Linked DNA regions of Ovis aries. The protein of the gene in region 2 purifies or fractionates together with the protein of the main gene of each other region. This does not show direct contact. Links are inferred from orthologs where the notes say so. Each region holds a gene or a part of one and is shown on either strand. Other genes may lie near its edges.

Region 1 (4,425 bases), on a different chromosome or scaffold from region 2:
GGTCCAAGGCTCAGGTAGGAGCCAGGGGCACCAGGATCCTGGGCTGGGTTGGGGGAGGGGCAGGAAGGGCGCACTGCTGAGACCACAAGGCCTCCTGTCACCCCAGACAGCGACGACGAGGTGGTAGTGGCAACCACTCGGATCGAGACGATGCTGGGAGATGTGGCTGTAGCTGTGCACCCCAAAGACCCCAGATACCAGGTGTGGTGGGGGTGCTGCCCGCAGCTGGGGGGAAGAATGCTGGGCTAGGAGGGCTTCTACACTATGTGTAGGGATGGGATGGGCACTGAGAAAATTGGATTCGAAACACATGGCTCTGGCTGCTTTCTGGCCCTGTGGATGGAGTTTGGGTGTCAAGAAATCAGGACCCTGCGTAGGAGGGAGTCGGGCCCAGCCCACTGTGCGTTTCTGGCGTCTCCCTCTGTCCCCAGCACCTGAAGGGCAAGAGCGTGATCCACCCATTTGTGTCTCGGAGCCTCCCCATCGTCTTTGATGACTTTGTGGACATGGAGTTCGGCACAGGTAAGCGCTGGGCTGTCCTGTGGGGACAGGAAGGAACCATGAGGTGCACCTGAACTTGCAGGACTTGGGCCGGTTCTCAGGGGACTGTGTCGGGGATGGGGTGGTCTGAGAGTACATCCATTAGCAAAAGGTGGGGTGCACGTGAGCAGAGACTGCACTGAGTCCTACTTGACCCTGCACCCCTACGTACACCCCAGGCGCGGTGAAGATCACCCCCGCCCATGACCAGAATGACTATGAGGTTGGGCAGCGGCACGGGCTGGAGGCCGTCAGCATCATGGACGCCCGCGGGGCCCTCGTCAACGTGCCCCCACCTTTCCTGGTGAGACAGCCTCGGCGAGGTAGCCATGTCAGGAGACAGCGGGGCTCCTGGCACAGCCATGACGGAGCCTGTCTCCCCCACAGGGCCTGCCCAGGTTTGAGGCCAGGAAGGCAGTGCTGGCAGCGCTCAAGGAGCAGGGGCTGTTCCGCGGCATTGAGGACAACCCCATGGTGGTGCCACTTTGCAAGTGAGGGCAGAGGCCAGGGCAGGGGGTGGGCGCCTCGGGGTGCTCCCCACTCAGCCTCCTCACCCACGTGTACCTGCAGCCGCTCCAAGGACGTGGTGGAGCCTCTGCTGCGGCCACAGTGGTACGTGCGCTGTGGGGAGATGGCTCAGGCTGCCAGCGCTGCCGTGACACGGGGTGACCTCCGTATCCTGCCGGAGGCCCATCAGCGGACGTGGCATGCCTGGATGGACAACATCCGGTGCGTCAAGCCCCTTGATGTAGAGAGGGCAACCAGGCGAGGGACCGAGCCGGGCACACCCTGGCGCCCCGCCCGCCCCTCCTTCATGCCCTCTCCTCCCTCTGCCACTTTCAGGGACTGGTGTATCTCCCGGCAGCTGTGGTGGGGCCATCGCATCCCAGCCTACTTCATCACTGTCAACGACCCTGCCGTGCCCCCAGGGGAGGTGAGAACCAGGCCGGGGCTGGAGACTGGCACATCTGGGGTTGGGGAGGGCTTTCAGTGCATTGGGTCTTGGTGGGGGGACAGGCAGAGGTGCCCTCTTGGGTACTCATTCCACCTGGGCATGGCAGGACCCTGATGGGCGGTACTGGGTGAGCGGGCGCACTGAGGCTGAGGCCCGGGAGAAGGCAGCCAAGGAGTTCGGCGTGTCCCCTGACAAGATCAGTCTCCAGCAAGGCAAGGCAGGGCCGTGCGGTGGGGGGCAGTGGGGGGCTGATCCTCACCTCTACCCCTCTGACTTCTGACCTCTGGCCCCCCTCAGATGAAGATGTACTGGACACCTGGTTCTCCTCTGGCCTCTTCCCCTTCTCCATCCTAGGCTGGCCCAACCAGGTACATTCCTGGGGCCAGCCCAGGGCTGGGTGGGAATCTTGGGTGTGGGTGCGTGGCTCCCCATCACTCATGCCCTGCTCTGACCCCAGTCAGAAGATCTGAATGTGTTCTACCCGGGGACGCTGCTGGAGACAGGCCATGACATCCTCTTCTTCTGGGTGGCCAGGATGGTCATGCTCGGCCTCAAGCTCACTGGCAAGCTGCCCTTCAAAGAGGTGTGGAGACTGCCGCTACCCCCACAGTCCCCTCCCTCACCTGGACAGCTGTGGGTGGGCTCAGCCAAGGAGGCTGGTGGGGCTGCAAACCAGCCTGCGCGCTGCTAAGCAATTCTGTACCTTGCTTCCTAGAAGAGGGAGCACTTCTGATTCACGAGAAGGGGCTGGCGGGGCCGCTGAGGGGCCCGAGGTTCAGAGAGGAGCAGACCAGATGTAGGGGTGAGGGGAGAGGCATTGGGGTCTAGGTGGGGAGATGTCCTCACAGGCCTTCCCTGCCCTGACCTCGCAGGTCTACCTCCATGCCATTGTGCGGGACGCCCACGGCCGGAAGATGAGCAAGTCTCTAGGCAACGTCATTGACCCCCTGGACGTTATCCATGGGGTCTCCCTGCAGGTGGGGCTGGGTGCTGGGTCAGGCCGGGAAGGGCTGTGGGGCAGTGGTCACGGGCCCCTGACTGCTCCCACGTCACCTTCAGGGCCTCCACGACCAGTTACTGAACAGCAACCTGGATCCCAGCGAGGTGGAGAAGGCAAAAGAGGGGCAGGTACAGGGGGCAGATACAGGGGTGGGCCAGTGGCTGGCATGTGGGCAGAAGGCGGGTGAGACTGGCTTAGGACACTCCCCTCCTTGACTCCTCCTCTGTTGATTCCTCCCTCTCCGTTGACTCTTCCTTCCCCCACAGAAGGCAGATTTCCCGACGGGGATCCCTGAGTGTGGCACCGATGCGCTCCGGTTTGGACTGTGCGCCTACACGTCCCAGGGTATGGCTCCCTGCGGCAGTCTTAGCTGCATCCTTCTTCCTCCCCGGAGGCACCCCACTTTCCGCTGCCCAGGGCCCAGGGCTGGGAGGGAGAGCAGTGTAGACTCACGCTTCACCTCCGCCTAGGCCGTGACATCAACCTGGATGTGAACCGGATATTGGGGTACCGCCATTTCTGCAACAAGCTCTGGAACGCCACCAAGTTTGCCCTCCGTGGCCTTGGGAAGGGTTTCGTGCCCTCGCCCACGTCCGAGGTGAGAGCCTGGTGGGCCGTGCGGTGGGCAGCACCCACGTGGGTCACACTCTTGCCATCCCAGCATCAAGCCTGGCCCCTGCCCTAAGGAGCCTGCGTGTAGCTGGGGGAGCAGGACACAGGGGAAGCCTCAGGCACTGCAGTCCTCCCGCACAGTGGCGCAGCCGGCCCTCTCTGGCCTGGGCCACCACTCTGGGCACGTGGTGGTTGCTTTGGACCCATCTCCTCCTGGAATGCAGATTCCCCATGGTTCCCATTCCCATGGGGTTGTGGCCCCTCCTCCTGGGCACATGGTGCCCCCTGGCTGACAGGCTCCTCTCCCCCCCCGCAAGCCTGGAGGCCACGAGAGCCTGGTGGACCGCTGGATCCGCAGCCGGCTGACCGAAGCTGTGAGGCTCAGCAGCCAAGGTTTCCAGGCCTACGACTTCCCGGCTGTCACCACCGCCCAATACAGCTTCTGGCTCTACGAGCTCTGCGATGTCTACCTGGTGAGGAGGAGCTGCCTGCCCCACTTCCTGGTCCTTGGCCTTCTCCAGCCCTGAACCCTGTGCCCCTCTGTCCCCAGGAGTGCCTGAAGCCCGTGCTGAATGGGGTAGACCTAGTGGCAGCCGAATGCGCCCGCCAGACCCTCTACACCTGCCTGGACGTGGGCCTGCGGCTACTCTCACCCTTCATGCCCTTCGTGACCGAGGAGCTGTTCCAGCGGCTGCCCCGGCGGACACCACAAGCTCCCCCTAGCCTATGCGTCACCGCCTACCCAGAGCCCTCGGAGGTATGGGGTATGGCCTGGATACGGGGCTCTGGGGAGCTCCTCAGAGCTGCCCCAGCTTCCTTACCCCCTTCTCCTCCCCTCAGTGCTCCTGGAAGGACCCTGAGGCAGAAGCTGCCTTCGAGCTGACCCTGAGCATCACTCGAGCCGTGCGCTCCCTGCGTGCCGACTACAACCTCACCCGGATCAGGCCCGACTGTGAGCCTTGGGCCCACACGTTCCCCTGTTCCCTCCCACCCCGGGACCAGTGTCTAGCATGACTGCCTCGTCTTCCATCTCCTCACCTGTCTCCCTTCCCCCGGCAGGTTTCCTGGAAGTGGCTGACGAGGCCACAGGTGCCCTGGCATCGGCGGTGTCGGGCTACGTGCAGACGCTGGCCAGTGCGGGGATCGTGGCCGTCCTGGCGCTGGGGGCTTCTGCACCCCAGGGCTGCGCTGTGGCCCTGGCCTCTGACCGCTGCTCCGTCCACCTGCAGCTGCAGGGGCTAGTAGACCCAGCCCGGGAGCTGGGCAAACTGCAGGCCAAGCATGATGAGGCGCAGCGGCAGGCCCAGCGTCTGCGGGA
Region 2 (3,549 bases):
CAGCACCAGAGCAGAGGCAGGGCATGACAAAACTACACCTCAATTATTACATTTCAGTTATATCTCAGTAAAGCCAATTAAAAAATCCTACTCATGTACAGAGGTGACCAAAGAGGGCACAGTAAGCATGTAGAGAACAAAGTACCACAGGCCTGTTCCAGCAGTAAACTGAGAACAGCCTTTTCAGGACCAGAGCGGGGACTCAGTGAGGCTAGGAGCACCCTGCCCGCTCTTCCTGCCTGCAAAGGAAGGTTCCCTGTCCTTGGGGACCTGCTCTGCAAAGCGAGGATCTCAGTCCTCCCTGGCACCCAGCAGCCCCCTTGCTGAGGATAGCCCTGGTACTGCCTGGGGTAGGCCCTGCTGGCCACCGGGCTGCCCACCTGGGACGTGAACTGGGCGGCTTCCTGGGGTGGGTCAGACTTGCTGTCCCCACACACGTTGCCCCGGCGGATGTCCTTGACTGACACGTTCTTCACGTTGAAGCCGACATTGTCCCCAGGCAGGGCCTCGCTCAGAGCCTCGTGGTGCATCTCCACTGACTTCACCTCCGTGGTGATGTTCACGGGTGCAAAGGTCACCACCATGCCAGGCCGCAGGATCCCTGTCTCCACTCGGCCCACAGGCACGGTGCCAATGCCTAGGCCGAGAGGAAGGGGGCTGTGAGGGCACGCTGAGGCCAGGGGTGCCCTGTCCTCCCTAGCAGGCAGGGAGTGGCCATGTGGTGGGAGGGAGGGGATGGGAGGCCCTGGGCAAGGCGGACCCTGGGACCTACAGACAGAGGTGGAGATCTTTCTCCTGCCCCATCTGGAGTAAAAGTGCCTGAGGAAGCAAGTTCCCAGAACACAGGGAACACAGGCAGGAGAGGCCCCATCTCTACCCCCAGGGGCAAGTGTCCCAACAGGAGGCAGCATGGGGCCCTCCTTGTGAGACAGCATCATTAAGCGGGCTGTGGACCAGCCCCCCCGGGGTGGCCCACCTGGCACTGGTGCTGCCATCTCAGGGGTGAGTCCCAAGGGGGCATGGTGCCCCCACACTTCTCAGGATCTGCTTACGCCGTGTGGCCAAACAGTGGGGGTGTGATGCCCCCCCAAGACAGGGGGCAGGGGGCTCGAGCCTGGCTTCCCTGGCTGTGGCAGAGGCTCCTGCGGCATTAAGGAGGCTGATGGCTGTGCTCTGTGCTGGGTGAGTGTGATACTCCACCTGCACCCAGGTCCTCAGCATCTCTGGCCACAGACTCCTGGCTGGGAGTCCCCCACTGTGGCCCCCTGTGGGCCTCACACTTGTTTATGTGTTTGCATCATTGTGTGACCAGCTCTTCTCATTCCTAGAGTGGATGGTGTCTCCTGCAAGACGGAGACTTCCAGGTGGAGGGTGATAAATGACTTTCCCTGTGCCACTGGTGCTGGCATAGGGCTGACACTTATTTGGAGGGAGGAAGACCCCGGCAGTCTTGGGATAGATGGATGAGCAGATGGATGGATGGATGGATGGATGGATGAAGACAGGTGGATGAATGGTCCCCCAGAAAGTGTGCAGCATGGTGGGAGGGGCAGAAATAACTGGGCCCTGGATGCTCCTGGTCTGGGGCCGGTTCTCAGGAGGGGGTCTGAGGGCGAGCTGGCCAGGTGGGCAGGGGCAATGCAGCGGGCAGTGGCCATGTGGACCTCACTCACCGCCAATCTTGTACACATCCTGCAGTGGCAGACGCAGGGGCTTGTCTGTGGGGCGTGTGGGGGGCAGGATGGTGTCCAGGGCCTCCAGAAGGGACACGCCACTGGCATTCCCTTCCTTCCTCTCCACTTTCCAGCCCTTGAACCAGGGCATCTGGGCAGGAAGAAGAAGGCACCTTCATAGCGCCCACCTCCCCCAACCCCATGCACCCCACAGCCAGAAGTGGGCAGATTAGCCTGGGCCCCTGCGGCCACTGCCCCCACAGTGTCAATCTGGGGCTGTCCCTGGCCAGAGAAGGGGCTGCAGCAGAAGGGGCCAGCCTCCTGGGGAAACTGAGCTGAGGGCAGAGTGCCTGTACCCAAGGAGGCTGTAGTTCCAGCCCAACACCCACAGAAGGCTAGTACAACAGTCATAGGGCTGAGGGCAGCCTGGGGACAGCTCCCTGACCCCCACTGGCCATCTGTGCTCGTCCTGACCCAGGGCCCTTGGAGAGCAGCCCTGCCACTGCCGGGCACTCACGTTGGGTGAGGGCTCCAGCATGTTGTCGCCGTGCCAGCCTGAGATGGGCACGAAGGGTACGGTGGCCGGGTTGTAGCCGATCTTCTTGATGTAGGCGCTGACCTCCTTGACAATTTCATCATAGCGCTTCTCGCTGTAGGCGGGCTCCGTGGAGTCCATCTTGTTCACCCCCACGATGAGCTGCTTCACGCCCAGCGTGTAGGCCAGCAGCGCGTGCTCCCGGGTCTGCCCATTCTTAGAGATGCCTGCCTCAAACTCACCCACTCCTGCAGCCACGATCAGCACGGCGCAGTCCGCCTGTCCGGAAGGTCAGGCAGGGTGAGCTTGGGCCCCTCAGGGCAGTGGACATGGGCCTGGGCAGTCACCTGGGGATAGAACCTGGGGGTCTCGCCCTTAGAGGCAGTGTGTGTCTGTGTGAATGCCCTGGCGATGTTGAATTGTCTGGGGCGGGGAGGTGGTGCATTTCTGCCTACATTCAGTGTCCCCATCCTGGCCTCTGTGTCCACTTGTCTGTGAAGTCGGCCTTGACAGTGGCCAGCTGACCTTATAGGCACTCTTGTCTGGCTGAGATGCTGGGGCGCTTACTCAATTCTTTGAGGGGTGAGTGGTGACAAAGGTGAGGGGTCTCATGCCCTGGTGAGGAAGCAGAGGAAATCCAACCACCGCTCATTCTAGGGCCCCCAGGGTCTCCTAAATGGTGTCCTTGCCCCACCTCCAGATCCCCCAGACCCCCGAAGCCCTGCCCACCTGGGATGTGCCTGTGATCATGTTCTTGATGAAGTCGCGGTGGCCTGGGGCGTCGATGATGGTGATGTAGTATTTGGTGGTCTCAAATTTCCAGAGGGAGATGTCGATGGTGATGCCGCGTTCCCGCTCTGCCTTCAGCTTGTCCAGTACCCAGGCATACTTGAAGGAGCCCTTCCCCATCTGGAGGGGTGGAGGCGTGGCTCAGGACGACCCGGACCCAACGGCCTGGTCACGGGTCCCCCTGGGCCATAGGAGCAGCATGTCACAGCAGAGAGGGCCCTTGCTCCTGCCGAGACCGGGGACTCTGGACCCAGCTCTGGAACTGGGCGGGGGACACCCAGACCTCATCCCTGCCTGCCCAGACCAGCCTCCTGCAGTCACAACGGGCGCCATCTGAGCATCCACCAGTAGGGGGCGCAAGGGCCTGGGAGCCGCCCTGGGAGAGAAGCGGCGGGCGGTTTCAAGCCCTCCCCTGGCTGAGGGCTCCCCTTTATCTGAAGCCAGAGTCTCCCCTCCCCCAGATAGATTTCTGTGTCAGCCGACGACACCACTGGGTTTCACACTGTCCAACCAAAAAACCCCTCTGTGATTTTTTTTTTAAGAAAGAAAGAA

Evidence for each region.
Region 1: the proteins of EEF1A2 (region 2) and VARS1 purify together in Homo sapiens (co-immunoprecipitation; 3 studies listed by BioGRID and IntAct, counting the BioPlex papers as one, with this or other methods). This does not show direct contact. The link is inferred for Ovis aries from reciprocal best matches to the Homo sapiens genes EEF1A2 and VARS1.

The regions. Positions count from the first base shown.
Region 1 is NC_056073.1:26,623,322-26,627,746, forward strand, and holds part of VARS1 (valine--tRNA ligase), read left to right. Parts: coding exon 1-14; intron 15-106; coding exon 107-201; intron 202-431; coding exon 432-522; intron 523-719; coding exon 720-844; intron 845-927; coding exon 928-1,031; intron 1,032-1,110; coding exon 1,111-1,269; intron 1,270-1,383; coding exon 1,384-1,474; intron 1,475-1,601; coding exon 1,602-1,707; intron 1,708-1,792; coding exon 1,793-1,863; intron 1,864-1,952; coding exon 1,953-2,078; intron 2,079-2,367; coding exon 2,368-2,472; intron 2,473-2,554; coding exon 2,555-2,623; intron 2,624-2,761; coding exon 2,762-2,840; intron 2,841-2,965; coding exon 2,966-3,093; intron 3,094-3,424; coding exon 3,425-3,580; intron 3,581-3,657; coding exon 3,658-3,864; intron 3,865-3,947; coding exon 3,948-4,059; intron 4,060-4,166; coding exon 4,167-4,425. UniProt on the Homo sapiens protein: Catalyzes the attachment of valine to tRNA(Val).
Region 2 is NC_056066.1:53,857,382-53,860,930, reverse strand, and holds part of EEF1A2 (elongation factor 1-alpha 2), read right to left. Parts: intron 3,118-3,549; coding exon 2,938-3,117; intron 2,488-2,937; coding exon 2,191-2,487; intron 1,825-2,190; coding exon 1,674-1,824; intron 638-1,673; coding exon 381-637; intron 1-380. UniProt on the Homo sapiens protein: Translation elongation factor that catalyzes the GTP-dependent binding of aminoacyl-tRNA (aa-tRNA) to the A-site of ribosomes during the elongation phase of protein synthesis.